7 linked regions of the Sus scrofa genome follow. The protein of the gene in region 2 purifies or fractionates together with the protein of the main gene of each other region. This does not show direct contact. Links are inferred from orthologs where the notes say so. Each region holds a gene or a part of one and is shown on either strand. Other genes may lie near its edges. The genes, in order: POLR2F, uncharacterized protein LOC106505238, UXT, POLR3F, CRCP, POLR3K and POLR3C.

Evidence for each region.
Region 1: the proteins of uncharacterized protein LOC106505238 (region 2) and POLR2F purify together in Homo sapiens (affinity purification with mass spectrometry; 4 studies listed by BioGRID and IntAct, with this or other methods). This does not show direct contact. The link is inferred for Sus scrofa from reciprocal best matches to the Homo sapiens genes POLR1D and POLR2F.
Region 3: the proteins of uncharacterized protein LOC106505238 (region 2) and UXT purify together in Homo sapiens (affinity purification with mass spectrometry; 3 studies listed by BioGRID and IntAct, with this or other methods). This does not show direct contact. The link is inferred for Sus scrofa from reciprocal best matches to the Homo sapiens genes POLR1D and UXT.
Region 4: the proteins of uncharacterized protein LOC106505238 (region 2) and POLR3F purify together in Homo sapiens (affinity purification with mass spectrometry; 3 studies listed by BioGRID and IntAct, with this or other methods). This does not show direct contact. The link is inferred for Sus scrofa from reciprocal best matches to the Homo sapiens genes POLR1D and POLR3F.
Region 5: the proteins of uncharacterized protein LOC106505238 (region 2) and CRCP purify together in Homo sapiens (affinity purification with mass spectrometry; 5 studies listed by BioGRID and IntAct, with this or other methods). This does not show direct contact. The link is inferred for Sus scrofa from reciprocal best matches to the Homo sapiens genes POLR1D and CRCP.
Region 6: the proteins of uncharacterized protein LOC106505238 (region 2) and POLR3K purify together in Homo sapiens (affinity purification with mass spectrometry; 3 studies listed by BioGRID and IntAct, with this or other methods). This does not show direct contact. The link is inferred for Sus scrofa from reciprocal best matches to the Homo sapiens genes POLR1D and POLR3K.
Region 7: the proteins of uncharacterized protein LOC106505238 (region 2) and POLR3C purify together in Homo sapiens (affinity purification with mass spectrometry; 3 studies listed by BioGRID and IntAct, with this or other methods). This does not show direct contact. The link is inferred for Sus scrofa from reciprocal best matches to the Homo sapiens genes POLR1D and POLR3C.

The regions. Positions count from the first base shown.
Region 1 is NC_010447.5:9,904,371-9,907,846, forward strand, and holds the end of POLR2F (DNA-directed RNA polymerases I, II, and III subunit RPABC2), read right to left. Parts: intron 1,706-3,476; coding exon 1,634-1,705; intron 1,171-1,633; coding exon 1,080-1,170; 3' UTR 989-1,079; downstream 1-988. UniProt on the Homo sapiens protein: DNA-dependent RNA polymerase catalyzes the transcription of DNA into RNA using the four ribonucleoside triphosphates as substrates.
Region 2 is NC_010453.5:5,085,705-5,089,817, reverse strand, and holds the end of uncharacterized protein LOC106505238, read right to left. Parts: intron 569-4,113; coding exon 307-568; 3' UTR 51-306; downstream 1-50.
Region 3 is NC_010461.5:42,175,299-42,178,656, reverse strand, and holds the end of UXT (protein UXT), read left to right. Parts: intron 1-2,142; coding exon 2,143-2,206; intron 2,207-2,419; coding exon 2,420-2,470; 3' UTR 2,471-2,515; downstream 2,516-3,358. UniProt on the Homo sapiens protein: Involved in gene transcription regulation. Acts in concert with the corepressor URI1 to regulate androgen receptor AR-mediated transcription. Together with URI1, associates with chromatin to the NKX3-1 promoter region.
Region 4 is NC_010459.5:26,732,514-26,736,626, forward strand, and holds part of POLR3F (DNA-directed RNA polymerase III subunit RPC6), read left to right. Parts: intron 1-648; coding exon 649-792; intron 793-1,012; coding exon 1,013-1,120; intron 1,121-2,109; coding exon 2,110-2,301; intron 2,302-3,983; coding exon 3,984-4,061; 3' UTR 4,062-4,113. UniProt on the Homo sapiens protein: DNA-dependent RNA polymerase catalyzes the transcription of DNA into RNA using the four ribonucleoside triphosphates as substrates.
Region 5 is NC_010445.4:16,583,844-16,587,956, forward strand, and holds the end of CRCP (DNA-directed RNA polymerase III subunit RPC9), read right to left. Parts: intron 2,518-4,113; coding exon 2,368-2,517; 3' UTR 461-2,367; downstream 1-460. UniProt on the Homo sapiens protein: DNA-dependent RNA polymerase catalyzes the transcription of DNA into RNA using the four ribonucleoside triphosphates as substrates.
Region 6 is NC_010445.4:41,569,892-41,574,752, reverse strand, and holds the start of POLR3K (DNA-directed RNA polymerase III subunit RPC10), read right to left. Parts: upstream 3,025-4,861; 5' UTR 2,981-3,024; coding exon 2,792-2,980; intron 1,430-2,791; coding exon 1,342-1,429; intron 708-1,341; coding exon 580-707; 3' UTR 1-579. UniProt on the Homo sapiens protein: Core component of RNA polymerase III (Pol III) which synthesizes small non-coding RNAs using the four ribonucleoside triphosphates as substrates. Can mediate Pol I proofreading of the nascent RNA transcript.
Region 7 is NC_010446.5:99,491,126-99,495,709, forward strand, and holds the start of POLR3C (DNA-directed RNA polymerase III subunit RPC3), read right to left. Parts: upstream 3,013-4,584; 5' UTR 2,677-3,012; coding exon of another isoform or gene 2,575-2,676; 5' UTR 2,091-2,574; exon of another isoform or gene 2,047-2,090; intron 1,083-2,046; exon of another isoform or gene 1,078-1,082; 5' UTR 1,058-1,077; coding exon 911-1,057; intron 384-910; coding exon 128-383; intron 18-127; coding exon 1-17. Other genes in the region: E3 ubiquitin-protein ligase RNF115, read left to right, coding at 2,575-2,676. UniProt on the Homo sapiens protein: DNA-dependent RNA polymerase catalyzes the transcription of DNA into RNA using the four ribonucleoside triphosphates as substrates.

The sequences.
Region 1 (3,476 bases), on a different chromosome or scaffold from region 2:
CCCTGCCTCTTGCAGAGGTCAGGCAAGCCTGGCTCCTCCTCTTCCTGGAAGGGAAGCTGGCAGCAGAATGGAGGTCAAGGCTAGAACAGTCGGGGAGCCAATTTTCTCTTCTATCCCTGTTGGTGTCAATACACACTCTCTTCCTGTCGTGCCCCCTCCCCGCCCCAGAGGAGAGAGCAAGCGGCGTCACTGACTTGGTCAAGAGAGTGAAGAGAAAAGGACCCATCAGAACCCAGGGCAGAGGAACGTGACCTCCAGTCCAGACTTAACTTGAACCCAGAAGCCCTGCTTCCCCGCCCACCTTCACCCTAGCATCCATCCTAGGGAAGGCCTTGCAGGACCGGGGCCCCACATGGACGGGAAAGGACAGCTTCCAGAGGCTGCGAGGGAGGGTATGGGTGTGGCAGACCCGAGGGGTGGGTCACAGAGGACAGTGTGTGGGCAGTGGCCTACGGAGGGGGGACTGAGGGGGCAGGTGGGCAGGTGCTCGGCCCTCGCTCCAGCTGCTGACTTGGCCGGCAGGGCCCTTTCGGGGAGGGCAGGAGATCACTGCATCCCCAAGCTTCCTGCTGGGGCACTGGCTCCTGAAAGGGGATCCGAGCCCACGATAAGAGGCTCGAGGCAGGTCCTCAGGAAACAATGGGTGGCTTGATGAGACCTGCTCTGTGATACTCCTGAGAAGGGAGAAGCCCCTGCAGCCAGTCCCCACTGGAAAGGAAATTGGGGGTTTCCGTGGCAACCAGCTCCCTGGGCACAAAGGCTCTTCTGTCTGCCAGGAAGGCAGCTGAGGTGTCTCCTGCCGCAGCCTTTGCTCTGGTGGACAGCAGCGAGATGGAGGGAGGGACGGGGGAGCCCCAGGAGACCAGGGCCCCTGGTGCTTCCTAAAGGGCTGACAGTCCCGGGGCCACTGGGATGGGCGCACCCTCCAGGCAGCAGTGCTGTGTCAGGGAAGGAGTGGGCGGGCTCACAGACAGCTGGAGGCAGAGGGGGCTGAAAGGTTGAAGGGTTTATTATTTACACGCGTAAAGAAGGTGAGACTGAACACTGGGGCGAGGCACCGTCAGGAAGGTGACTGCAGCTCAGTCGCTGATGATGAGCTCGTCCACCCCCCAGTCTTCATAGCTCCCGTCAGGCAGGTAGCGGCGGATGATGATGGGGATCTTTCGGGCCCTGCGGCGGCGAGAAGTCAAGGTACGTGAGGGCTGCTGACCCCGCTCTGCGGCACAAGGACGGGCCATGCGGAGGACGCGAGGCAAGAGACGTCTCAGGAGCATCCTCCTGCGACCACGGGGGCCCCGGGCAGGACAGGGATCACCACCCAAAAAGCTCCTGCGTCGCTGAGCAGGGACGGTGGGTCTGGAAGGGCTCCGCCCTCCCGCGGCTGAAGCAGGAGGGAGAGCGGAGGGCTGCGCAGTCGGAATGGGGCAGTGCTGACAGACAGGCGGGGGCCACGCCTCAGCCATGTCCTCCCCTCCCCCCTGGCCGGCGCCCTCCCCGTCCCCCTCCCGCCAAGGGCAGAGCCCGAATAAGAACCACACCTCCCCAGCAGGGAAGCGGGGAGGGGAGTGCAGCAGAGAACCCAAGGGGTGGCCCCTGGGCTCTGGAGCAGTGAACCGGGACCTGGACGACTTACTTGAGCTCTTTCATGGCGATGAGCAAGGGATCTGTCTCCCCCTCCAGCTCCACCATCACGGGGGCACACATCCTGCAGGTACAGGGACAGGTGTTGGGGGTGACTACAGACACGGGGAGAAGGGCCCAGCACCAAGTCGGGGTGAATGTGGTCAGCACACCAGGCCTCACCCAGAAAAGGCACCTGCCAGGTAGGTGGGCAGGGAGCGGCGGTTCAGGGGCACCGACAGTGAGGGTCCACGGTGGGAGCCAGCAAACCAGACTGACCCTTCGCCTCCAAGGACAATGTTTTTCTCCCAATCTCAGCATCCTCATTTGAAAATGAAGACAAAGAGTTCCCATCATGGCTCAGCGGTTAATGAACCCGACTAGGATCCATGAGGTTGCGGGTTCAACCGCTGGCCTCACTCAGTGGGTTAAGGATCCAGTGCTGCCATGAGCTGTGGTGTGGGTCGCAGATGTGGCTTGGACCCTGCGTTGCTGTGGCTGTGGCGTAGGCCAGCAGCTACAGCTCCAATTCGACCCCTAGCCTGGGAACCCCCATATGCCGTGGGGGTGGCCCTAAATAGCGAAAAAGATAAATAAATAAAAAAGAAAGAAAGAAAGAAAATGAAGACAAAAAGGCCTACACAACAGTGACGGTGAAACTCTACAGGCTAACAAGCAAAGACTCATACATGCCATCTGCTGCCCTCAGCCCTTCACCTAGATTATTTCATCTGAGCCAAGTCCTACTGGTACTTCCATTTTATTGACGAGGAAACTGAGGCACAGAGAGGTCAGTAACTCGCCCAAGGCCACACAGCCAGTAAGTGGCAGAGCCAACATGTGAACCCCAAAGGCTCCCCCTTACTGTGCTGTAACACCTCCCGCTAAAAGCTGGAGACCTTGAATGGAAGGTATCGTGAAAGGGTCAAGTGTGAGCCTTCATCACTGGGCCCTCTGACATTCATCATGTCAGCTCCCCTGCCAAGGATGTTCCCCAGAGCCCATCACAGACTCCTGGGCCCGCGGCCACAGCAAAGCATTCCAGCACAAAGGACCAGCAGGTGCAAAAGCTCCCCCTTCTGACTCTTCTAACACAACCCCCCGGCCCTGCCTCAGGGCCCAGCTCACCTCATCTTCCTTCTGTCCTGGCATCAACCCCCACAAGGGGCCTGCTCCTCTAGCCGTTAAGGGCCTGCTTACGACCCTTCCGTGACACCCCACGGCCATCAGGCAGAACCCCAGTGGCTCCTGCTCACCTTCTCGGGCTGCTTGCCGGCATTGACGCTACCTTCCAGCACACCAGACTACGTCCATTCCCTGGACAGCCTCCGGTTTCCCTTCTGCATCCTTGTACAAGCTCCTCCTCTCCCTAACAGCCCGTAAGATTCAAATGTCTCCACTCCAGAAATCACTTGCTGAATCCTCAAGAGTCCTGACTGGTTTTACACACACTTCTCTTGGCACCAGTATCACTACACTGTGCCTACTTGTCTGAAGTTTTCCAAATTAGACCTGGTGGCCCAGGATCCCATGTTCTAGCATAATACTTGGCTCACAGCAGAGGCTCTAAAAACAAACAGGCACAAACAATGCCAGTTCTAGGCCCACTTCCTCCAAGAAGCCACCCTTACTGATCCCAGCTTAAGTTCACATGAATGGGTCCCCATTCTGCTAAGTGTCGAAATTACTAGGAGAGCATATGCTAAATGTACAGGTTCCCAGGTCCTTCCCCAGACCCTCTGAACAGACTCTAAAATAACCTTCCAATTTCGTTACTAAATATTTTGATGTCTGTTACTCCCAAAGCTTGAATACATCCCGAGGGCAGAGAGCGAGTGTTTAACTTTCCCTGTATC
Region 2 (4,113 bases):
AAAAAAAAAAAAAAAAACCCCAAAAAACCAAACAAACAGAAAAGTGGAACTAGTTTTAGCAATCTCTGAAAACGTTTAAGTTCTAGCTTTATTTTGAAGCCAGCTCCCAAAGTAGAATGGAAACAATACCCAGGGCTATTGCCCCGCGAGGCAGCCTGAACTCGCTGCCGGGGCACCTGCAGAGCACGAGCCTCGGCGACGCGCTGCTGCAGCCGGGACGTCCTGCATGGGCGGCCGCGGGCAGGTCCTCGCCGGGTCTCCGCATCCCCGGGCCGGGGGCGGGGACGCCCGAGCCCTCGCCCCGCCTCACCGCGTGTGGGAGCGCGGCTGCGGCTTCTCCTGGCCCCGCTTCCCCGGGGAGCGGCGGGCGGCGCCTCCTGCGCGGCCGCCCGGCTTGTACGGATGCGGTCTGTGCTTCTGCCGGCCTTCCTCCTTCTGGCTCTGGCTTTTCGCAGGCTCCGCACTGGCCTCTTTGGGTTCATGGTCTTGCTCCTTGTGGGACGGCAGAGTGTTCTTAATTGTGTTAATGAGAAATCTCTTATTGGTACCAGCAAGAGGACACTTCATCCTGGGGGGAAACAGGACAGGCACACATCAAACACTGACTCCAGAGCTGAGCCCACGGAGCAGCAAAGAAAGCGGCTTCCACAGAAGCAAGTTTCCCGACTTGTGAGCTTCCCTTGCGTGCCACCTAGTGTAAACTCCGAGTACAGGGCAAGGAGAGCCTGCGGAGACCCGCGGGCCCTTCTCCCAAGACTTCAGAGGCGACGAGCCCCGACCCTACCAGAGGGTGTGTACAGGTACTGACCACAGCGCCGACTGCCTGAGTCGTTTAACACTGTCTCCTTACACCCCAAGTCCCTGATTTGACCGTCATCCGCATTTCGAGTTAAATTTTGTGGCGGCTTGTTTTTAAATATCAAAGAGCAAAAATAAGTCCCTCCCGGAGGAAACGAGCTACCGTAGAAACAGAAGCTGTCTAAAGACTCCATGAGGCTGCAGTAACCTCATTCACCCTCTGAAAGGCTCACACTTTCTGCTCTGAGACTGTGTGTTGAGTTTGCCTTGTCAGCGAGCCTTTTCCCACGTCCACCCCGAGGGAGGTTCTGTGCTGCCTCCGTTTCAGTGGTGTCATGATTCAAGTTCACCCGGAAGGAAGGGTGCAACCAGGCACAGCATAGTTTACATGCTTTGCTCTGCTTGCACACTCAGGATGTTTGATTTTTCAGGTGTAGTAAATCTTTCATTTTAGGAAAGACAACCCCAGACAAATAAAACCTGAGTATTTCTCTTGGCCTTGAGCCATCTGCCTGTACGCAGGGCTATTTTAGGAGGATGCTGATCCTGCAGATGGTGTTACTCAGGGAGGCTGGTGTTGAACAAAAGTGAATGTAGGCGTCCGTGATCTCCATGCCTCTATCAAACTGCGATTCAAGGCGAATCCCACGTAACACGGGCACGCACTGCAGTGACTTTCTGGCCTGCCCTCGTGGGGGAGAGACCAAACTGCTCACCAGCCTAGTGCCCCGTGTTCCGAGGTCAGGCCCCCTCAGGCAACCAGAATGGCACTGAATCTGGAAGGAAAAGGAGGAGGAGAAAGACAGGAAAATGTCTCCTGCTGCAAATAAGCTGTCTCGCACCCAGCAGGTATCAGGCGTGGCAGGCGTGGGGCTCGGAGGTCGAAGCCCGATGTCTGGTGGTGGCGGCCCTGGGGCTTTGGTTTGCTTTCCTTTTCCGGCTGGAGTTTAAAAGCCACAATGAATGAGGTAGGAGCAAAGAAGAAAGGCAACAGCAAAAGAGCAGAGAAAATGCTTCTGCAAGGACAGGACACACACTGTTGGACTCCCTGCAGCCCCGAGGGCTTCACTTGTCTTCCAGAAAAGTACACTGGCTTGATGCTGCCTCAGGCATGGCCAGGCATACAAGGCATAGCCAGGTGTGCCCTGCAGAGGTACAGCCCTAGGACCCTCTGTTCAGTTAGGAGGGCCAGCCAGCCTCTTCCCTCGGTGACCAGGTTAGGTTATCACTGAATTCAGGCATCGATGGGGTGACGATCCTTGAGCCACCGCATTGCAAACTTAGCAAAAAATCAAGAGAGCAGGACGCACTGGTGTGTTATAGCAAACACAACCTCAGTAGCCTGCGGGAGGAGGCTGCCCTTCATTGTGGAACAAAAGAGCAGGAAAAGCCGAGCGGCCCTCTCTGCCAGCTCTGGCTCAGGCTTCCTGCAGGACCACCATCTCCCCTGGGCGTGGCGGGCCAGCCGGGGAAAGCCAGCCGGCTTCAGAAGAACCGTGGGGCGTTTTCAGTGCAGTGGCTCATCAGGGCTGGAAAAACTGCTCAGCTCCTCTCTGGAATAAATGAGTAAGGAAGGGGATTATTGCCAGGCGGTGCAATAACCCAGGATCTTAAAACCTTTGGAAACTGCTGGTGAATTGGACGTGTTTCACCACCTTCCACATGAGGCCATCTTTAATACCACGTGTGCGCCTGAGATGGAGTGCGGTCTTCTTCAGCTGGAAAACTGCAGGCTTCGTGCTGAGAGGGGGCCATGTGTCAGAGGAGGTGTCCTGGCTTCCTGCTGCATGTGTAACCCATCGACTCAACATGGGCACCAAAAGAGCTATTCTTTTTTTTTTTTTTTTTTGGTCTTTTTAGGGCCACACCTGTGGCATATGGAGGTTCCCAGGCTAGGGGTCTAGTCGGAGCTGTAGCTGCTGGCCTACAGCACAGCCACAGCAACGCCAGATCCTTAACCCGCTGAGCAAGGCCAGGGATCAAACCTGTGTCCTCATGGATGCTCGTCAGATTCATTTCCACTGAGCCATGATGGGAACTCCCCCATCTCCAGCATCAAGCCAGTGTACTTTCCTGGAAGACAAGCAAAGCCCTGGGGGCTGCAGGGAGCCCAACAGTGTGTGTCCTGTCCTTGCAGAAGCGTTTTCTCTTTGCTGTTGCCTTTCTTCTTTGCTCCTCATCTCATTCACTGTGGTTTTAAACTCCAGCCGGAAAAGGAAAGCAAACCAAACCCCCAGGGCCGCCACCACCTGACGTCGGGCTGCATCCACCACACCCCACGTCCTTTTCCCTCTAGTCAGATTTGTTTCTGCTGAGCCATGATGGGAGCTCCAAAAGAGCTATTCTGGAATGAGATGGTTTTCTAGAAGAAAGTCCACAAGAAAACTGGCTTTGACATCTCTTTAACATCAGAGATGCCAGTGTTGGGAGAAAAAAAACAAACAAAACATCAGAGGTGCAACTTTTAATGCTGGCTGTGCCTGGGGTTCTATTCAAGGTGAAACGTGGAGGATGGCTTGGCGAGAACTCGGTTTTCTTGGAGTGGGGTATGAAAGCGACTCTTTCCAAGCATGTTGGTGCAGGACGCATCTTAGAGATGAAGAAAAGTGCCCGCCCACACGCATTAATAAATGGGGGGGCAGTTGCGGGCGACTGAAGGGGCATATGTAGTAAATGGCTCCACGCTCGGGCATTAAGAGACGGAGCGTGAGGCTGAGGAGCTCACTGGCAGGGCCGGCTCAGGCCTTTAATGTGGCCATCAACTCACCGCCAGCCAGTGGATTGCTGCAAACCCCGTGCAACACAGTTTATCCACGTGCTCTGGAGTCATGCGATCCACCAGACCGAGCCCTGGGCCTGGTAAATCATCTTCCGTTGCCTCTCATCTTTTAATAGTGGATAATAATGGAGACGGTTTGGGAGGCTTGGATGCAGCTCAGAGGGTGAGGGCATGCGCTCAGGACAATGCCCGATGCCTGACAAGCACCTGGTAAAGTGTAGCCCTTTAGCCTCAGTAAAACGTGTCCTACTCCCACAGCCGAATTAGCTTGGGGCCAAGGGAAGGTTACATCAGTTTTCTCTTTGTAAACAGAAGTAACAGAAGCGCCTCCCTGTTGCGAGGATTTAAGGAGATGGTGTCTGAAGCGCCTTGCACAGTGCCTGGCACGTAGTCGAGCTCCGGTGAGTGGTACCTCCCGACCTATGATTTCATACGCTTGTTCTCAAATTTAAAAATCTCTGAAAACCAAGTTCTTTGTTTGACACCCTCAACTCATGAGGCAGTCACACCCGACCTGTCTAACCTGAGGCTGGGCA
Region 3 (3,358 bases), on a different chromosome or scaffold from region 2:
GAACTCCCAGTTGCAGTTTTAAACAGAATGCCTGATTGGATATGGGATGTGAGGAAAAAAAAAAGCGGAGTCTAGGTTTGGAGCTGAGCAGCTAGGAGAATGGAATTGCCGTTTTCTGAGATGGAGAAGACAGTGAAAGAGCGGAATTGGAGGGCAAGATCAGGAGTTCAGTCTAGGACCTAGTAAGTGTAAGATGCTTATTAAACAATGAAGTAGATTTTCTGAAGATGTAATTAAAACTCCCAAGGCTGGAGTTCGGGGGAGAGGGCTGGACTGAAAATATAAATTTGGGGAGTTCCCTGGCGGCCTGGTATTTAAGGACCTGGTGTTGTCACCACTGTGGCTCGGGTTGCCACTGTGGCACAGGTTCTATCCCTGGCCGGGGAACCTCTGCATGCCCCCACCCCAGCCAAAGAAGAAAATACAAATTTGGGAGATAGTGGAGTTCCTGCTGTGGTGCAGCAGGATCGGCCACATCTCTGCAGCACCAGGCTGCAGGTTCGATACCCAGCCCGGCACAGCGGGTTAAAGGATCCAGTGTTGCTGCAGCTGCAGCATAGATAGCAGCTGTGGCTTGGATCTGATGCCTAACCCAGAACTCCATATGCTGCGGGGGAGCCAAAATAGAAAAACTGGGGGGAGATAGTGATACATAAATGAGTTTACACTCTTTTTTTTTTTTCCAATTTAACATCCTATGTCGTTGCCTTCTACTTTTCTTAACAGTATTTAGTTTCCCCAAAACTGACTCTTACGTTGACAGGATAACTCGGCACAATAGAATCCACCTTCCTTATCAGGATATCAAGACCGTGCATGATCTAGCCCTTGCCTACCTCTTGGATCTTGTGCCACTTTCCTTCCACCATTCACTTACTTTCTAACACTGGCCTCCTGATTGCTCCTCTAGAAGCTCTTTCCGGCCTCTCGGACTTCTTGTGAAAGACTGTCCTGTTTAACTCTTACTCATTCTTCAGAAAGGCCTTCTTTTATCCTTTGCATCACTTAGGCTTCTTTTGGGTGAGCCTGGTCGCAGTTGGCTTAGATGTCAGGAGGTAGGAATGGGCTGGTTGGCGTAGCTCAACAGCCCAGAGCCAGAGTGGTCCCGCTTTCCAGTTGCTTTAAGCCTTGGTGTCTTCCTTGAGTCCTCTCTCTCTTGCATCCAACATCCTCCTTTGGTAAATCCTATTGACTCTACCTTCAAAGAAGTATCCCAGCTCCAATCATTTCTCATCCCCTCAACCGCTGCCACTGCGGTCCGAGTCTGCATCTCTCACCTGGACGATTCCGACAGCCTCTGCAGTGGCCTTCCTCTTCCACACCAGCTGTCCTTATCCCCAGTCGGTTCTCCACACAGCAGCCAGATGGATCCTCTGAAACCCTAGTCATTTGACCTCCCTTCTCTGATCACAATACTCCCCTTGCTCCCATCCCACTTAGAGTCAAAGCCAGAGTCCTCACCATGGCCTGGTAGATTTTACACGAACTATCTCCCCCACTTACCTCCGTGACCTCGCCTCCTCTACCTCCCCACTTCACTTTTTCTTCTCCAGCCACACTGGCCTCTTCGCTGGGCCTCAGACATGCCAGGTACGCGCCCACCTCAGAGCCTTTGCACTCTCCACCCCTTGTGCCTGGAACACACATCCTCCATATGTCCACATGACTCGCTTCTTTGTTTTAAGTCTCTACTCAAACGCTTCTCAGTGAGGCCATCCCTAAGCACCCTAATTCGAATTCCAGCCCCCACTCCTGTACTCCCATATCCTCTCTCATTTAATTTTTTTTTCATTATAATTTTAACCATCTGACATACTCCATATTTTACTCCATCATCTGTCCCCCTTAATGAGAATCTGAGCTCCAAGAGGCCGAGATTTTCGTTTGCTATGTCTGCTGCTATCTCCCCAGTACCTAAAACAACCTGGCATAGAGTAGGCATTCAGTAAAGGTCTTGGAATCAGTGTAGTGCAGATGGCGGCCAGGCATGTCTGCCTAGGAGCAGGCCAGGTAGTAGGGGTCCCACCACCTGCCGTGTGGAAGTCATCCAGGACTTAGGCGGTTCTTGAAGCGGTGAGGGCACATCATCCTCACGGATCCTAAGTGGGGCCCACCTCGCCCTTTCTCGTTTCTTTTCTCCAGGCTCAGCGACAGCCTCACCAAGGACTCCATGAATATCAAGGCCCATATCCACATGTTGCTAGAGGTGAGAGCAGCTCACCCCACTCCCAGACTCTATCTCCAAATATTTAGGGTGGTGTCCTGAGGAAGGGAGAGAGCCAGAGATGGGAAGGGCCATCTTTCCCTCCAAATGAGTCAGACAGGAACCAGGCTGGCTCTGAGGGAAGGGAGTTCCAAGCAAGCCTGAGGTGGGGCCTGGACCCAGTCTCCGTTCAATCTCTTCTGTTCTCTTTTTCAGGGGCTTAGAGAACTACAAGGTCTGCAGAATTTCCCCGAGCCTCGCCACTGACTTCTTCCTACCTCCCTTGACATTAAAGAGCCTGAATGTCTTTGAGTCACGTGGCCCTTCTTTCCCCCATTAACTTCTGCTGTTGGCTAAAGTGCCGTTTCTAAAGCACAATGTTACTGGGAGGCGCAGAGATCCAGTCTGTGTAGAATCTTTAAAGCACCACTGAAGTGCCGCCTCCAGCCTGTTTCCTGGCAGAATGTGCCACCTGACTTTCCGCTCTGCCCTCTCTACCATCGCCTTGGCAACCTGGGCCCCCACCTGACCCTTCTTTCTATTTCCTTTCCTGTGCACTACTGCTTGAATTAACCATAGAGAACGGGCCGATTCAGGGTGGCGGTTTGTTCCCTAAGGCAATCAACCTTTCACTCCTGGCCCTAAAGTTTACCCTTCTCCCACACTCCAATCGTTCCTCAGGTAACTTAAATTACACCCACGCCCGTCTAGGCCCAACCTTGGCCTTGTCCCAGCTTCTAAATAGTTACAGCTCCAGCAATGGGCGCAGGGCCGATCTCGCCCGCCCTCCCTGGTCCGGTCCTCATTCTAGGCTGAATCCAGCTTCCGCCAATCGATACAGAGCCAGGTTCCACCCCTTTATTACTGGCTGCAGCTCGACCCTGCCCTTGTAGGCATTTCGTTTCCACCACTCAACACTCCTTCGCACGTCTGGCAGCTGTCCTGCCCTCCTTCCTCTGCTTCGTTCTAAATTCGTCTTTTCTAGCCAATCGCCACAGAGTTAGCCTGCCCGCCTCCGCAGATCCCTGGTCAGACCTCCTCCCAGCGGGGCTGCTAGCCTGTGTACTTCTATACAAGTCCTGCTTCCGCTGGGCTGCGTGGAGTTCGGCACCGCCCATTGGTGTTTTGGCAGCTGTCTAGGCGTCCATCGCCCGC
Region 4 (4,113 bases), on a different chromosome or scaffold from region 2:
AACCCGCATCCTCATAGACACTATGTAGGGTTCTTAACCTGCTGAGCCACAGCAGGAACTCCTGATAAGTTTTATTGATGACAGTCAGTCATCACTTGGTGCTGCTCAGGTACCCTTGCTGAAATATGAGAAGGGCACTTTACTTCTGTGGTCCTTTTTCCAGTCTAATCAGACAAATCCCAGTTAAGGGACATTCTACAGAATTTTTGCCATTCAGGTGAGTTTCTCAAAACTGATAAATTCATCAATAACAAGGAAAGTCTGAGAAAACTGTCACAACTAAAATTTGTGTATTTACATCTACTTACGCAAATAAGTAAATGTAATGTAGTGTTCTGGATAGCATCGTGGACCATAGAAAGGACATTAGGGAAAAACTAAGGAAATCTCAATAAAATATAGACCTAAGAGTTAGTACTGACATATTAATATTGGTTCATTAATTGTAACAAATGTACTCTAGTAATGTCAGATGTTGCTAATAGGGGAAGCTGAGCACAAGGTCAGTGGGCAGTCTGTACCATCTTTGCAATAATTCTGTAAGCCCAAAACTGTTCTGAAATATAAAGTTTGGAAGGCTTTGAAGTCTTAGTTTTGGAAGCCTGTGTTGTTACCTCTGAACCATCTGCTCTGCATGTTTTTTCCTAGGCCTCTAAAAAGAAGGTGTATATGCTCTATAACCTGCAGCCGGACCGGTCTGTGACTGGAGGAGCCTGGTACAGTGACCAGGATTTTGAATCTGAATTTGTAGAAGTGCTTAACCAACAGTGTTTCAAATTCTTGCAAACCAAGGTGAGGCATAACTGAGATCACATGATCACTGTAGTTTTTTTTTTTTTTAAGTTTCTTCACAAGAAATGTTTAATCTTGTACATCATATTTTGTTTCAATTGAAAATATTGAGATTGTTCTTTTTCACTGAACAAAATACATTCTGTTGCTTTCACTCTATATAAACTGTATTTAGAAAACACCAGAATTCTTCCTGAAATTTATGTTTCTATCTTTATAGGCAGAAACGGCAAGAGAAAGCAAACAGAATCCCGTTATCCAAAGAAATAGTTCTTTTGCTTCATCACATGAAGTGTGGAAGTATATCTGTGAGTTGGGGATCAGTAAGGTCAGAACTCAGTTTCTAATTTTATCTTGTTCTTAAAAACTTATTCTTCAGGAGTTCCCGTCATGGTGCAGTGGATAACAAATCTGACTAGGAACCATGAGGTTGCGGGTTCGATCCCTGGCCTTGCTCAGTGGGTTAAGGATCCGGCATTGCTGTGGGCTTTGGTGTAGGTTGCAGATGCGGCTCAGATCCTGCGTTGCTGTGGCTCTGGCGTAGGCCGGTGGCTACAGCTCCAATTGGACACCTAACCTGGGAACCTCCATATGCCGTGGGAGCAGCCCTAGAAAAGGCAAAAAGACCAAAAACAAAATACTTATTCTTCATCACAGGGATATAGTTTACAGTATATTCCAGACACACCTGACACAGACCCTTTTTTCAGGTGATACCTGTGTATATTCTGCAGAACCCATTTTGAGAAAGTACCATTCTAAGCCAGTTAGGCAAAGGCGGTCATTGCCATCGGGCACTTGGTGAACTGTATGTGCTTGAGCCTGGGATACAGGGTAGCAGAGTGGAGGCCTGACAGTTCGTTTCACTGCCAGATTCAAGTCTGTTCTGGCAAGTCTGTGACTCTCTGGGGGACATTTCAACATATGTGCCAAACATCAGTCATCGTATCAGTTGTCACTAATTGGTATTTTCCTCCTTATGAGATGCAAGTGGTGGTGTCAGCACACTCTTCTGAACATCCATACATATGGACAACATCAGAGAAGAAACTGAAGCAGTCACTTGGACAAGTCATTTTCATTTCCTGGGTTGCAGATGTTTCTTTCACAAAAAACCAGGAATTTGGACTATTTGATACTCAACCATTTTATAACTCTCCATCAAATTCTTGCCAAAGAAATGTTACGAGATGTCTGGATCTTACTTAGGAGCGTGAAGATGTCAACAAATGTCAAGCTCAGCATGAGCTCAGTTAACCACCCTCCAGAAGGGTGTCTCCTTGTCCTTGGGTCCTTTCTAACATGTCCCTTTTTTAGGTAGAGTTGTCCATGGAGGATATTGAGACCATCTTGAATACGCTCATTTATGATGGGAAAGTGGAGATGACCATCATTGCTGCAAAAGAAGGCACTGTTGGCAGTGTGGACGGGCACATGAAACTATACAGGGCAGTCAACCCAATCATCTCTCCCACGGGATTGGTCCGGGCCCCCTGTGGACTCTGCCCGGTGAGTTCAAGTGGCATCACTGTACACTTCACTGCCACCAAGTGCAAAGCTGCATAACGTACCAGCAAGCACACCCTAGTTTTCTCAAACCTAGGGTTGAACCAGTGCTGCTGAAGCCTCCATGTAACCTTGAGGACAGGCCTTTAATGAGCAAATGATCACCATACATTCTTAGAACAACCAGGTTAAAGAAATTTGTTTTCTGTTCTTGGTCCCAAAATGGACATTTTTTTTGTTTTGTTTCGTTTGGTTTTGGTTTTGGTTTTTTGGTTTTTTTACTTCTTATTTTTTTTTATTACTCAAATGAATTTATCACATCTATAGTTGTATAATGATCATCACACAAAATGGACAATTTTTTGATGGGAGCAAATCATTTAACCTATGTAGGGAGGGAACTGAGATTTATTGAGAACCTGTCATGGGCCAGACATGTTCGTGAAGGTCTCTGTGGTCTCATTTAACCCTCAGGTCCCTCACAGCTGGCAGTGTCATTTCCCTTTAAGCATGAGGGAACTTAGGCTAAGGGCGCTCTGAGAGCATACAGCTCAGACACAGCAGCCAGGACTCACAGCTAGAAGTGATGTGCTTTCCTGAGGCCTGGCCCACCCACGTTTTCATTTGTTCCTTCCCAGAGAGCTCCTGAGCACCACCCGTGTGCTGCAGGCACTGTCCCAGCCCTCATGGCATTTATATCCTTGGCCTGCTGGCCTGTGTTTTATGATCTACACGCCTAAGCTCTCTATGCCCTGGTTTCAGCTCTCATAAAAATGGCTAACCTGTTGGGAATTCCATTTATCACCTTTCACACAAAGAAGGTAGCTAAACAGGGGGTGTTTGGTCAGTTAAGTCATTTGTGTGTATAGATCTCCCTTCCTGGGCTCTTGTTACCTGCCAGCACCCCAGTGGGCAAATGAACGTGGTTATCTTTATGTGTGTTGTCTTTTTTTTTTTTTTTTTTTTTGTCTTTTAGGGCCGCACCCGAGGCACATGGAGGTTCCCAGGCTAGGGGTCTAATCAGAGGGGTCTAACCACAGCCATAGCAACATAGGATCCAAGCTGCGTCTGAGACCTGCATCACAGCTCATGGCAACGCCAGATCCTTAACCCACCAAGTGAGGCCAGGATCGAACCTGTGTCCTCATGAATGCCAGTCAGGTTCACTAACCGCTGAGCCATGAGGGGAACTCCTTGTGTGTCTTTTTAGGGCTGCGGCTGTGGCATATGGAGGTTCCCAGGCTAGGGGTTGAATCGGAGCTGTAGCTGCTGGCCTATGCCACAGCCACACAAGATCCTTAACCCACTGAGCAAGGCCAGGGATCGAACCTGTGACCTCATGGATGCTAGTCAGATTTGTTTCCACTGAGCCACACAGGAACTCCAAACATGGTTATCTTAATGCTAAAGTGAAAGGTCTCTCACTGACTGATCACAAAGCAAGTCGTGTTTCAGTATGTTCTTACATACAGTCCTAATAAAACCTCTTTCAATTTGAAAGTTTTGTTGTTAATATTGTTTTAAATAAACAGTTGGGGCTGGGGTATTTTATTAGAAATTTCAGTTGTAGTTGATATTAAGACATTATCTGTAATGTAATAATTTTATAAAGTAATAATTTAAAACCTCAGCATTCTTAAACTTTTTAAAACCTCAGTGTTTATAAACTTTTTTCTTTTTTAAAGGTATTTGATGACTGCCACGAAGGTGGTGAGATTTCCCCATCGAACTGTATTTACATGACAGAGTGGCTTGAATTTTAATAGAGAGATACGAACTTTACTGACATTTTGCCAATGAAGTTACATTGGAAGC
Region 5 (4,113 bases), on a different chromosome or scaffold from region 2:
CATTATGTAATTAAATAAGGTTGATGATCCTTTTCAGGGGATGTGATCTGTTTTATATGCAGTTTACTGAGGCATGATCCATTTATAAAATTGATAATAAATTGGCTCAGGGGAAAAAATGATTTAGTGAAGAATATACTGGAGGATTGACTCACTCGTCCCTCACTAGGGTATAAACTCTTGAGGGCTGATATGGTTACACAACAACTGATTAGGAAAATGGTACCCACTATTTCAGGAATGAACCTTGAATAAATGGCAAGTCCCCTGAGCTGGCAGTGGGTCATCCAAAAACTCTGAAGCAAAAAGAGGCAAGGAGGTTATCTGGATAAACCACTAACTGGGAATCAACTTCATTTTTCAAGAGCTCAGGAGCACCTTCTCGAAAGATCACCTCCCCTCAGTGCTGTGTCTCCCAGAGTGACCGGACTGGGTGTCAGCCTCCACGTTCGGAACGTAATTTAACTACGGACAATGCATTTATTAACTTTCACAAAGACCAAGGATAACATGCAAACAAACATTTTTTCTTTTTAAAGAATAAAACAATCACCTGGTCAAACATTAAAACCATACAGAAGGATATAAAATAAAAAAGCAAGTCTCCCAGTCTCCCAGCTCTCCTTCCCAGATGTGATCCTGTGTAAATTACAACTTTTTATTTCTGAAATATTGATTATTAATGTGATGGGGATATTACACAGACCATATTTCTTATAAAGAGTAAGTCTGACCTAATCAGAAGCTGAGGCTAAATTCTCGGATCTAAATAGATTCAATTTAAGAAAAATACTAACATGTATATATTTTATATATGTTTTCTAAGTCAGATTTCTTTTTTTTCCTAATCAAGGCAAAATAAACTCTTGAAAGATAAAAACAGCACAAGTTGGCAGTCACCTGGAAACAATTTATCATCAACTAATCAAGCCTTAAATCCATGAAGAAAAAAAGCACCTCAAAAATGCAACAACAATGACATGAGCACCAAAATACGTGTCTTGACAAATCAATAGCTCCTGGTAAAATTCCTGATACTTGAAGAAGATTTAAAAATAAATGCCCTGTTCATGTCAACATTGCCTGTGAGCAGATCTCAAGTCATCCTTAGAAGATAAGGTTAAGATGAACGTAACTGCCAGCTGGCAGGGGTGGTGGGGAGGCTGAAATAACCTGGGAATAGCAAGAGGCGGGAAGTAATCCAATTAACAGAAGCACGGAAAATATGTAATCGTACAACAAAACGAGTACCAATTTGAAAAATTAATGTCTATGGGCATTTTCTTCCCCAAATAGGGAGCAGAGTGAACGGGGGAATTAATTTTTAACACTATTCCTAGGACCTAAGGGCAACTACACGTCTGGGGCTACGACACTCTCCAAAGCATGAACATTAAGAAGTTCTTCACATGGTAATTATTCTAACATTTTAAATTTTCAAAAACTGATGCAACCTTGCAAGAGCCAACAAAATTAAAGTCTTATTAATCAACCTCTACCTCTTCATATTCTGTCCACAAAAAGAGAGACATTAACTGTGCCCTTTAAAAAGATACAATGCACCCATTGTGCACATGGAGCTCACCTGCTGGCCTCAACAAGCAGCGCCTGTCACGGGGCAGGAAACCGAAGGTGGGCAGAAAGGCAGGCGACGTGGTCATTCGGCCTGGATGCCTCTTTTCAACGGGAGGGAGCCGGCGCTCTAACACTTCGGACTAACTAGGGAGCCAGCTCACAGGGCCCACGCCAGCAGAGGAAAGGGGCCTGAGGAAGGGATGGCCAGGCTGTTCCTTTATCTCTGTTTCTCGCAAGGAAAGGAGTCCTCTGAGGTAAGCCAAGGTCAGTAGCTGATTTTAACTCAGAGCAACCATTTGCTGCTTTGCGTGTTTTTAGCCCTCTACTGGGATTCTCCTAACTCAGCTTTCATCCCAACAGTGCTCCGCGGCCTTCAGGGAAGCCGCCCAGGGAAGCAGATGGAATTAATTAGGCGAGAGCCCATCAAAGGCAACAAGGAAGTATTCCACCAGCTATGCACAAGGACCTTGCCCCGAGCACGCCAAAGACCATGGAAGGATTTTTACCACAGGGGGTTCCACGTCCTTGTCCTCCTCGACCCTGTCCTCCTTTCTTTAGCTCTCTGCCCTGACCACTACCTCAGCCTGTCTTTACCAGGTTTCTTCTCCAAAGCACAAGAATTTCTTTTTAGCTTCTTTCTGAGGAAGGCTTATTTTTGTGGTTTACCAAACCAGCCACAAAATCAGGCCTGTTGGGACAGAAGGTAAAACCAAATAAACAGTCCTTTGAATGTCTGGGAAATGGCTGCTGGGCCTTTCGACTTCACAAGACCCTGGAGCCAACGGTGCTCTTCTAGGCCGGGTCCTCTTCGTCCATTGTCACGTCATCGCTGGTATGTGTCTTCTGCTCAGCCTCTGGCCCCGCAGGCAGGATGCTGGTGACGGTGTGGAGCAGAGCTTCGATCTGCTCCTCTGTCAGCCGTTCTTCGCTCTCCTCCACCATCTGCAGAGGGAAAGAAAACCCTCCAGGAGTTACAGAGACGCCTCGATGGCGGGGCCCAGCCTCGCCCTCTTCACCCATGTTATTCCTGGTCTAGGCCCGGGGCTCAGGGCCTGGCTCCTGAGCCACCCCTGGTGTCCAGGTCCTCCATCTTCATGAATGGGAGAAGCCAGCTCAAGTTCCAGAGTAAGCCAGTGTGAATGCTCCACAAGGGTCAGTGAAAAAAGCAAGCTGCAGGTTAACATTTTTTCCTGAAAGAAAAAGCAATCCCTAACAGTTCTCTACCCATCCACATACACACATGAATGTTGTACATGCAAAGAAAACCCACCTCTGGGGAGCGAAGTGGCATCTTATATACTTTGGTAATTTCACAACAACACAGCTGTAACTTATAAACTGTATCAACAACTCTCTGGATGACCGCCCACTATGTGCCAAATGCTTTATATATTTTTGCTAATCCCCACTACTATCACTGCTGACAACAGCCCTTTAGGGAGCTCCTGTGCCCAGTGCAGCGTCGCACCTAGTACTTCATGCTCATTATTTCTGTTAAACCTCACGACAAGCCTGGCAAAGGGCAGAATCCCAAGCCAGGCCTGCCCATCTCTAATACCTACAATCTAACACAGGCCGCATGGCCTTGGCCAGGAGAATGCAGAACAGGAGTCCGTGAATGACAGCTGGGAAACAATCTCCCTCGACCCCATCAAAGGTCTGCTTCGAACCCAGTTTCTGACGTGCTCCTGGGCAGCCGAACATAGAGATGATGAAATCCACAATCACAAGCCAGTTTTCTTAGCCTCATCTCTAATTCTCAATAGGTCAACAAACAAAAAAAATAATGTAATCAACCACTTTTGTAAAAGCAGCCTGCAGGCAGTCAAGTTACCTAACCACACTCACTTGGTGGCATGAGCCATCGATCACAAACCACTTTCTCAGCTAAAGATGTCCAGGGTCCTAGCCTATGGCATTTCCCCTAACAATCTCTGAAATCTGGCCACTAAGATCAAAAGGCGTTCCAGAAAGAATTCCTGGCAGATTTAAGTAAAGCATGATGACAAGCTAGGCTTATGATCCTAAAAAGGACTTCAGTTTGACTGCCTAGCTTTACAAACAATAGTACAGAAGCTAAAGAAGTCTGGTGATGTGCCCAAGATCAAACTCCCAGCAAACCACTGGCCTCTTCACTCATCTCAGTCCAAAAATGTTTCCAGAACTAGCCAATACTCCTGGATGTTCCAGAGTAAAGATCCAGAGTGAACCAAGGAAGCTACTTCCCCTCATGCTGTGAAATAAAACGACCATATTCTAAAGATTCAAAGGCTCCACATAACTTCTCTACTGAAAAAGGAACAATCCTCAAAGACACACTTTTAAAATTAGACACGTAAGCAGTTCCCGTCGTGGTGCAGCTGAAACGCGTCCAACTAGGAACCATGAGATTTCAGGTTCCATCCCTGGCTTCGCTCAGTGGGTTAAGGATCTGGCATTGCTGTGAGCTGTGGTCTAGGTTGAAGACTCAACTCGGATCTGGCATTGCTGTGGCTGTGGTGTAGGCCGGCTCTGACTGGACCCCTAGCCTGGGAACCT
Region 6 (4,861 bases), on a different chromosome or scaffold from region 2:
ATAAAAGAAAATCCACGCCATTGACAATGTCATAACCACACTAGTCCTACACACAGGAGTCAGTTTTGGATTCTTGTTTTGGGATTTGGCGTCTCCACCTTAAGGCATTTAAAACCCTGAGAAGGTGGTATCGGATTTTAATTTTAAGTAAATATTCAGAATAAACGCTGATCCACCGAGTTTGCAACTAACAGCTAAATACTTAAGGACAGCTAGTGTTCTAAGTCAAAGCCCCATTTTCTTGGGTGTGCCAACATATAAATAAATGTTTACGAGCGTCAGCTGGTGGCGAGAGAAAGCTCACTGCCCACTAAACGGGAAAGATGGATAACAGGACCCTAAATAAGACGCACTTGGTGTGGCCACTGCCCCCAAACACAAGTTCTCCCTGGACGTCAGCAAATTCATCCACTGCCTGGGCGATGGGGGCCATCTCCTGGCCCCCCGGCCGGGCCACTCTGAGAAGGCTGGCTTTCTGCCACACCGGCAAAGATGCTCAGAACCCGCAGTTCCCTTCCAGCTGGGAATCCGCCCTGGGGAATGAGGTGAGCAGATGCTGGGCAGCGGGGCCACCCGGCCCTAGTCCCTCCAGCGGTGTCCACACTGAGCATTGCAGCACTTGTAGAAGGTGGTCATGGGCTCGTCGGCAGAGCGGGTCTGGAGCTGCATGAAATAGGCCCGAGGATGCTCACACTTGGGACACGGCTCTGGCGTGAGAAAAACAAGGGACCCACGGTTACTTCAAAAAGGATGCCCAGTGTGGCACAGAGGCTGAAGAATCCGACTGCAGCGGCCTGGGTTGCGGCTGCGGCGCGGACCAAGTCCCTGGCCGGGGAACTTGTGGCATGTGGAGGTAGCCCAGAAAGGTCACGGTCATAAGGCAGTAAGCCACCTCAAGATTCGAAATCAGGTCTGAACAGCTCCAAAGCTTGTGCCGACACTGGTTTTGGAACAAAGAAAGTATCAAGGAAGGAGTTCCTGTTGTGGCGCAGCGGAAACGAATCCGACTAGGAACCATGAGGTTGTGGGTTCAATCCCTGGTCTCACTCAGTGGGTAAAGGATCTGGCCTTGCTGTGGCTGGGGTGGAGGCCAGCGGCTGCAGCTCTGATTAGACCCCTAGCCTGGGAACCTCCATATGCCGTGGGTGGGGCCCTAAAAAGCAAAAAACAAACAAACCAAAAAAACCACCACATGAATAAATAAAAATTTCTAAGAAATTATTAAGGAAGAAAATATAGACTTCCTCTTCGCAGAAGCACAAGCAGACTGCCACGGAGGGGCAGAGTCAGCAGCCCCGTACCATCCACAGCTCTGCCCGGGAACAGGCCTCTCCCTCTCACCTGCGGTGGAGTCGACGTTCTCCCAGGCAGCTGCTCCACCAAGCACGTCATCCACTTCTTTCAGCTTTGGGTACTTCCGATTCGTTACCTAACAAACAACAGCCACTCTTCAGTCTCTCCAACTGACTGAACCGCACACCCCAGGATCACCTAACCACACCTGCCCGCAGGTGTCTGGCTTCTTCCACCCTTCAACCCGGACGGGAGGGGTACTGGACAGGCAGAGGCCCTGCTCCATCAGAACTTAGAGGACCCATGATTGGACTGCCCCAAGAGAAGGTCTCTGCAAGGACTGGACAAAGCAAGAGGAGCAAGAGAAGCATGGCTCGGGTATGGCCCTCCTCTTCTCCCACACCCCCTAAGGCTGGGTAGCCCGAGACGAGGCCCCAGAGAACTGAGGCCAAAGAAGGGCAATCTCAGCCGGGGAGCCGCCCCCCCCCCCCAGGCTCCGGGCAGAGCTTTCTAAGCACTTGCCAGGTTCTACCAGCCGTCCTTGACCTGTCGGGGTAGGTAAGAGTCCACCCTCCGCGTCGTTTCAGACCCTAAACTCCCACAACACGGCCACATGGCAGGACACTATACAAATCTATACAAATACTAAGGAGAAAGTAGCACTTGGGAGTTCCCTGCTGGCTCAGCGGGTTACCGCCCTGGTTCTGTCCCGGTTCTGTCGCTGCTGTGGTGCAGGTTTGCAGGTGTGGAAAGCGACATAAGCAAAAGAAATCTTGGTGACTCCATTTTGCTGAAATGCCTTCCTGCAACCCCCCCCCCTTCCCTCTTCTCCCAGTAACAGTTTGTTTCAAATTAGCCAACTGGGAAGAACGTGCACCCTGACCTGACCCACGGGAAGGGGACAGGGTACATCCCCTGTGTTAGGGATAAACAGGGGAGGGTCCTTTGTTCGGGGCACGCGCACTTTTTGGGGTGCCCAGCGCCCTTCTGCAGCAGTAAAGAGCCTTGTCGAGATCTCCCCGTGTTCACGTGCCTCATTTTTCGACAATGACGATCCGAGCCACGTCCCCAGCACAAGGAACTTGTGCATGCCAGGGTGCCGGGGGCGCGGCCAAAACAAAAACTAAACAAACAAAAAGAAAGAAAGAAAAGAAAGTATACTGGAAGGCAGTGAGCCCTATATGAAAAATAAAACTAGGGAACGGAAAGGCCGCATTTATATAAACAATCCCTTAGGTAAATACAGGCAGGAGTGACAGGAACGAGTGAGTCCCTAGGGGAAGAGCGACTAGAACAGAAAACTCCTGCACAGACCCTGGAAGCAGCGCCTTGGGCAAGACCGGGGCGCCTCCGAGAGGCTGGCGGTGCGGGCAAGAGGCTGCTGGGACGCGAAACCCAAGCAGAGGACGGAGCTAGGGGAGGTGAGGGTCAGGGCCTGGCGCGCTCCGCGAGAACGACGGCTGCGGCCCTGCGTGCCGGGAGGCCGGCGCGGACCCACCTTGCGGGTGATGTTGTGCACATAGGGGCAGGTGTTGCAGGCGAAGCGGTGGCAGCGCTGACCCTCCTCCACAATCAGCCCGTTCCCGCAGCCTGGGCAGAAGAGCAGCATCACGACAGCCCAGCCTACGCTCCCTGCAGCTCCCTGGCCGTGGACTCCGGGGGCTTCCGGGCGCCCCGAACTCCCCATTGGTCCCGGCGGCCGCCTCTCAGCAATCAGCCCACCAGTAGGCACGTCGGCTCCGCACTCCCAGTGTGCACTGCGGCAGGCTGGCTCCCAAAGCATCATTTCTCATTGGTCCTGGCGGTAGCCCCGCCCCTCGACCAAAGGCCGGGCCGTGGGTGGCTTTCCCCGCGGGAAGCCCGGGAATCCCGGGCCCGGGTCGCGAGAGGCGGTGTGGGGGCGGAACCCGCGGGCTGCGAGGCGCCCTGGAGGTGGCGGGGGCCTCGGGACGGCCAGAGCCGCAGGAGGACGAGGAGGATGAGGAAGAGGCACTGCCGCACTCCGAGGCGGTGGACGTTTTCCAAGAGGGTCTGGCCATGGTGGTGCAGGACCCGCTGCTCTGCGACCTTCCGATCCAGGTGCGCATGGGTCGGGGCCTCTTCCCCCGCTCCGGAGCCCAGCGTCAGGGAGAGGACCGATTCTGGGGTACCGATGATGGCAGCGGCCCGGAGACCTCCAGAAGCGGCCTCAGGGCGTAAACGAGGGTCTAGGCTCCGACTGGGCCTGGGAGGCGAGCGAGGCACTGGTCTCCGGCGCGGCATTTACGAAGGGTTCCCTGGTAGTCTAGCGGTTAAGAACTCCGCCATTGTCACTGCTGTGGCTCGGGTGCTGCTGGGCGTGCGTTCGACTGGCAGAGGAACTCTCGCATGCTGCGGGCATGGCCAAAAAAAAAATAAAAAAGGAGCGCCAAAAACCCGCTAGTCAGGACACATGACATTTCAGTATAGTGTTTTGGTTGGTTTAGGAGGTTTTTTGTTGTTTCGGCTTTTTGTTTTTGTCTTTTTAGGGCCGCACCTGGGGCATATGGAAATTCCCAGGCTAGGGCTGGAATCCGCTGGCCTACACCACAGCCACAGCAACTCAGGATCCAGAGCGGCATCTGCGACCTTCAACACAGCTCATGGGCAACGCAGGATCCTTGACCCACTGAGTGGGGCCAGGGATGGAAACTCCAGTACAGTGTTTTTAAAACTCAACATTGGTTTATAAAGACCTAGGGTAAACAAAATGATATCATGTCAGATAAAAAGACCAGTATTAAAGATTTCTGGAGTTCCCATCATGGCTCAGTGGTTAACGAATCCGACTAGGAACCATGAAGTTGCAGGTTCGACCCCTCCCTGGCCTTGCTCAGTGGGTGAAGGATCTGGCGTTGCTGTGAACTGTGGTGTAGGCTAGTGGCTACAGCTCCGATTAGACCCCTAGCCTTGGAACCTTCATATGCCGCCAGTGCAGCCCTAAAAAACCAAAAAAATGAAAAATAATAAAGATTTCTCCATTCTCCTCAGGCTTCAGTATGACCTGGCACACTCCTGTTTTTAAATCTTTGTATTTTGCCCATCATGAAAATGTTAAATTAGTTTGTTTTCTTGATAGTGGTATTCGTCTTCTGTTGCCCCGGTAAATGTTGCACCCCTGCCCCAGCCTTGCCTGGGGCCCCAGGGCCTGAGGGTTTTTTTGGGGGCAGGGGGAGCCCTCCCAGGCTGGGCACTCAGGCCCAGGGCTGCCCCTCCCATCCAGCTGCTGGGCCGGAGGAGCAAGGGCTGCTCCTCAAGGAGGCTGTTTCTCTGCTCTCCTCTCCCGGGTCTCCGCCTCCTTGGCAAAGGTGACCAGGACTTGAGATGGAGGTGCTGAAACACTGGGACCCCCCCTAACCCGTAGGCAAGAACGTTCCCCAAATATGGTACCGCTTTGTTTGAATGATGGGCTGGTTCTTCTTCCCTTTTGTTTGGGGCGGTGAAGCAAGCTCCCGCCCCCAGCCTGGGTCTCTTCTAGGTTACTTTGGAAGAAGTCAATTCCCAAATAGCCCTCGAATATGGCCAAGCGATGACAGTCCGAGTGTGCAAG
Region 7 (4,584 bases), on a different chromosome or scaffold from region 2:
GTCCATGGTCTTGCCATCTGTACAACAGGAGGAAAGAGGCAGGTGAGATGGCCTCAGACAGCTAAGGGGCCACTCCTGCAGCCAGCCAATCTATGCTTTTGCTAACAGCTGTGGGTACAGTACTGACCCTCCATAGTCTCTGTGAGCCGATCTGCTACTTTCTTCACAACAGCTGACATTGTCATTTTGCCGTTCAACAGCAGCTCCTCAACAATCAGCTCTCCAGTGTCACTGTACAGCGTTTTGGCAGTATAGATGTACCGGGGATACCTAAGCATTCGCAACACCCGGCTGCACTGGGCTTCATACTCCACCACACCACGTTTGTGCACTTGATATATCACCAGGTTATGCTGGATGAGGACACAAAGGGCTTTTTTAACCTAGAGAGGACACAAAAGAAAGAGAAAAAAAAATTGGAAAATGCAGTTCATTATTGTTGGCAATTTCTGTCCAACAATTTACTAAACTTCAGGAGATGGCTGGAACCTCCGTGCATCTTCTCTCTCTCCATTGGAATAGCTGTTAAGAATCGCATTGTTCATCTTATGAAGAAATCAGGAGGATTCCTAGCTCATATTTCCTCTGATCTTTATCTTACAAAGTACAACTTACTTGCTCTCTGTTACTGCCATTCCTTAAAGGTAGTGCTGAAATTAATAGACTCATCATGCATGAATGAAGTATGGCAAATGAAAAGCACAGGTTTGCCTAAGAAGCCACAGTGAGCCAGATCGCTTTGAGAAGCAGAACCTTAGGCACTATGTCTCATCCTCTCTCCCTCCCAATGACACTGTTCTGATCTCAGTGTAGCTCTCTTTTGTATTTTGTGGGGTGGGGAGTAGTAATATTCAAGGGTAGGTAAAGGAAACTAATGAAATAAAAGCAAATTAGTGTGATCCAAACATACCTGATCCAGCGATGTTCTTGTGTCATGGGCAATAACTCTTAGTGGCTGGCTGCCAGTTCTGATTAGGTGGACTCCAATTTTTTCTACAATCTCTCCAAAATGCTCTTGCAGCAATAAAGAACACAGTTTAATTTCTGCTTGAGTCATTGTACTGAGAAGTCTCAGACCTGAGAAAAGAAAAGAAAAGAAAAGAAAAAATAGCACGATGGGAAGTTTTTCTTTTATGTTGGAGTAGAGCTGCTAAGTGTAAATTCATGTACTTTTTGGAGGGCAACTTGACAGTAGATACGTCAAAAGCCTTAAAATCTTGCATATCTTTGACCTAATACTTTTGCTTTGGCTATTTTGTTTCAAGCGAATAATAATGATGTCACTTTAGAATACTGACATTCCAGAAACAATATAATATCTAACAATACGGGATTATTTCAATAAATTATGGTAGACTCATACAATGGCATACTACGTCTATGTTTACAATGAAGTGTAACATGTATTAGTGTACAAAATTGTTCATTAAGTGAAAGAAGCAGGTTACAAAGCAAAATGTAGAAGAAACTTAAATTATTGTGAAAAAAAAACCCCCTTTTTTCTTATAGGTATAAGAAAAAAAAGACTGCAAGACAATATATCAAACTTATCCTTATGGGATGTACGAGTCCAATTTTCTTTAAATATCGTGTGTAGATGATTTTATTTGGAGGAATTAAGGACACTATTCACAGCCTATTGGGAGTGAACAGGAAGTGTCATTCCCAATCCGTAAGAAATGACAACTTTGCAAAATAAATTAGGAGCGTCTCAACAGAGTGTTTCAAACAACAGATGAAGCATGTTGTTGGCAGGGCAGTATTCTGAAATTTCTACTCCTTGACAAAGTAGACACAAAAAGAAACAAACATAGTTGACTATAAAATCACTTGTTGTCATAAGTGCTACCACACACTGGTCTGTTCATTTATTTCTCCCAATCCCTCAGAAGCCAAGACTGTGTCTTTCAGTCTCAGTATTCCCACTCACAGGTCTTTGGGGAAGTATCCCCAGACCATCTGCCATCCTTGATAAGGATTTCCAAGGAACCTGGCTCCTGATTCTACACTTCCTTCCCCCAGGTTCCGGTTCCGGACTGGGTCCCTGGGTCTAGAGAAACGGCCTCATTCAGACCGCATTTTCCACTAACCTCTGGGTCAATGCAATCTAAAGCCGCCGCCGACCTCGTGCGGCTCCAGCCAGCGGCTCGAGCAGAAGGCACCCCAAGGCCCTTTTGCGCAGGAGCCCGGCCAACGAGGAGGGTCAGCAAAGAGGAAAAACGTGTGCCGCTCTACCCCAGCGTTTCGGTGGTTTCCGGGGACGCTCTTGCTTCCTTCTCGCTGGGAGGTTGGAGGACCGGCGAGGGGTGTTAGAGGAGCCGGCGGGAGGGCAGCGCCGGACGGACTCTCCTTCCTGTAGCTCTTTGGTGCCGGGAGGCGGGCCGTGGGGTCGCCGTCCTCGCCGACGCCTTGTGGGCCGGGCGGGCTCACGTGACCCGCGCGGACTCTGGAGCGGCCAGCTGCGCTGAAGAAGCGGCGGCGGCGGAGGCAGAGGCGTCTCTTGTAGCCGGGAGGTAGCGGCCTGGGGAGCGACGGGCCGGCTGCCCTCTCGGACGGCGGCGCCGGGAGAGAAAAATGGCGGAGGCCTCGGCGGCCGGGGCCGGCGCAGGCGCCGCTGTTGCCGCGCACCGGTTTTTCTGCCACTTTTGCAAGGGCGAGGTCAGCCCCAAACTACCGGTAAGAGTGTGTGTCCTCTGCACGCCAGCGTCCGCGTGGGTTCCTCGTCCGGATGTCCCAGAACGGCGCTTAGGCTTCCCGCACAGCCCCGACTCCCCTGACATGGGTATCCCAGGTACCTGCTGCCCACTGTCTCCTAAACCCCGGGCGTCCGGGCTGTGTGGCTCAGTAACTCCCGCCCAGCCTTTTTTCCATTCGGATGCTCCACCTGTCCCTCACTCTTTCCCCTTTTTACCTGCCCTCTATTATTTTTTTTTTCCTGGTTTTCCTTAGCAAGTTTTCTGCTGACCCCCTCCTCTCCGTTTTCTTACATTCTTCTTCACCTTGTCTCTTTCCACAATGACCTCCCCCCCCCTTCCGCTGTTGCTTCTCATCTTTATTTCCTTTTCCACTTTTCATCAGATCTCCCCTTCCACTATCCTCATTGAAGCAATATAGCGGATTGCTGAGGATTGTCTTTATTCATTGTCTCTAGGGAAGGAGGGAAGAAAGCGGGGCGGGGGGGGGAGGGAGGGTTGGAAGGTAACTGGGCAGAGAGGGGGATTTTACTCTTCAGGGGTTTCCAGCGTTCTTGTGAAAGTGAAAACAGCGGTGTACTAATGACTTGCGGACTGCGATCCCAATCACTGTCGAAGGAAATGGCTTTAGGAAGAAGGCAGAACATATTCTTTCAACTCTCTTATTTTGGTTGTCATGCTGCCAGTATCTTTAGCACCACCTGCCTTACCCGCCCCTCCTTCCCCTCCCCCATTCTCTCTCTTCACTTAGTGAGAAGATCTAGGACAGAATGTTGGGGACTGCATCCTCTGACGTAAAATTGGTTTTCGTCAGTTTCTGCCAGACTGTGTTAGCCCCTAGAGAGGTAGTGCTGTTGGCTGTGGAAAAAAAGTGCTTCTGCAGCATGCTTGCCAGCTATTGCACCCCAAGCCCAGAGGCTGTTTTAGGTTGAGTTACTACTGCAGGGAGATCCACCAGGGTGAATGTTAATCCTACCTTTGGCCAACCATCTTTAGAACTAGTTATGGTTGTTCTTTTCCTTAGAAGTATCTTTGTTCAGCCTTAAGAGGGTGTCTGTGTAACTACTTATCTCAGTGTTTATAGTGTCTCAGATACAATCTGTGAGAAAGCCTATTAAAGTGTGTCTCTGTGTCTTAGTTCTTAGAAACACCAGTGGAGTCCAGTGAAAAGTGCCTAAACAGTATTTTAGCCTTTTCACTTGAGTTGTGCTTTTTCAGGCTTTTGCTGTATTTTCTTTCTTCTCTATTTGCCCCACCCCTAACTTCATGGTCGTAGTTTCATCTACACGCTCTTTTAGTTTTGCTTGGATGATTTGGCTGTGTGTCTGTGTCTGTGTGCTTTTTGCTATACTTCAGTGCTGAGAAGAGCAGGTGCCGTGGCTTGTTTGTTTGTTTGTTTGTTTTTCCAGTGGACATTGGAGGCTCCAGAACTCTTCCTTACCACAGAGAGGGAGTCTGGAATTCAGCCAGTGCATGTGTGATGAGTGACATGTTGAATGTGATGCCCTAATGAACAGTGAGGCCTTGGCTATTCTGATCTTTAAGTTGCTGTTCACCGTTTGCCTTTGAGAGTGAGAAAACAGTCTAACTTTCCTCCACTTACTGTATCTTTTCTCCCTACCATCTCAAGTCCTCACTTCAAAGTGCTCTTGAAAAGGGCTCATTTGAAAGACTTTTTAGGTGTTTTTCTAAGCCTTAGTTTGATGCCTGGAGGAGAAGTCATTGATCTTTCTAGTCTGATTTATTATCTGTCATGCCTGATTTGTAAATTGAGGCATAACACTTTTAAGTGTAACGGAATACTTCCCTGCAGACATACAAGGTTCTCAACTGAAGGTCCTGGAGGTAATACTGAGGAATATATGGTTTCTGCTCTTAAGCACCTCACAGT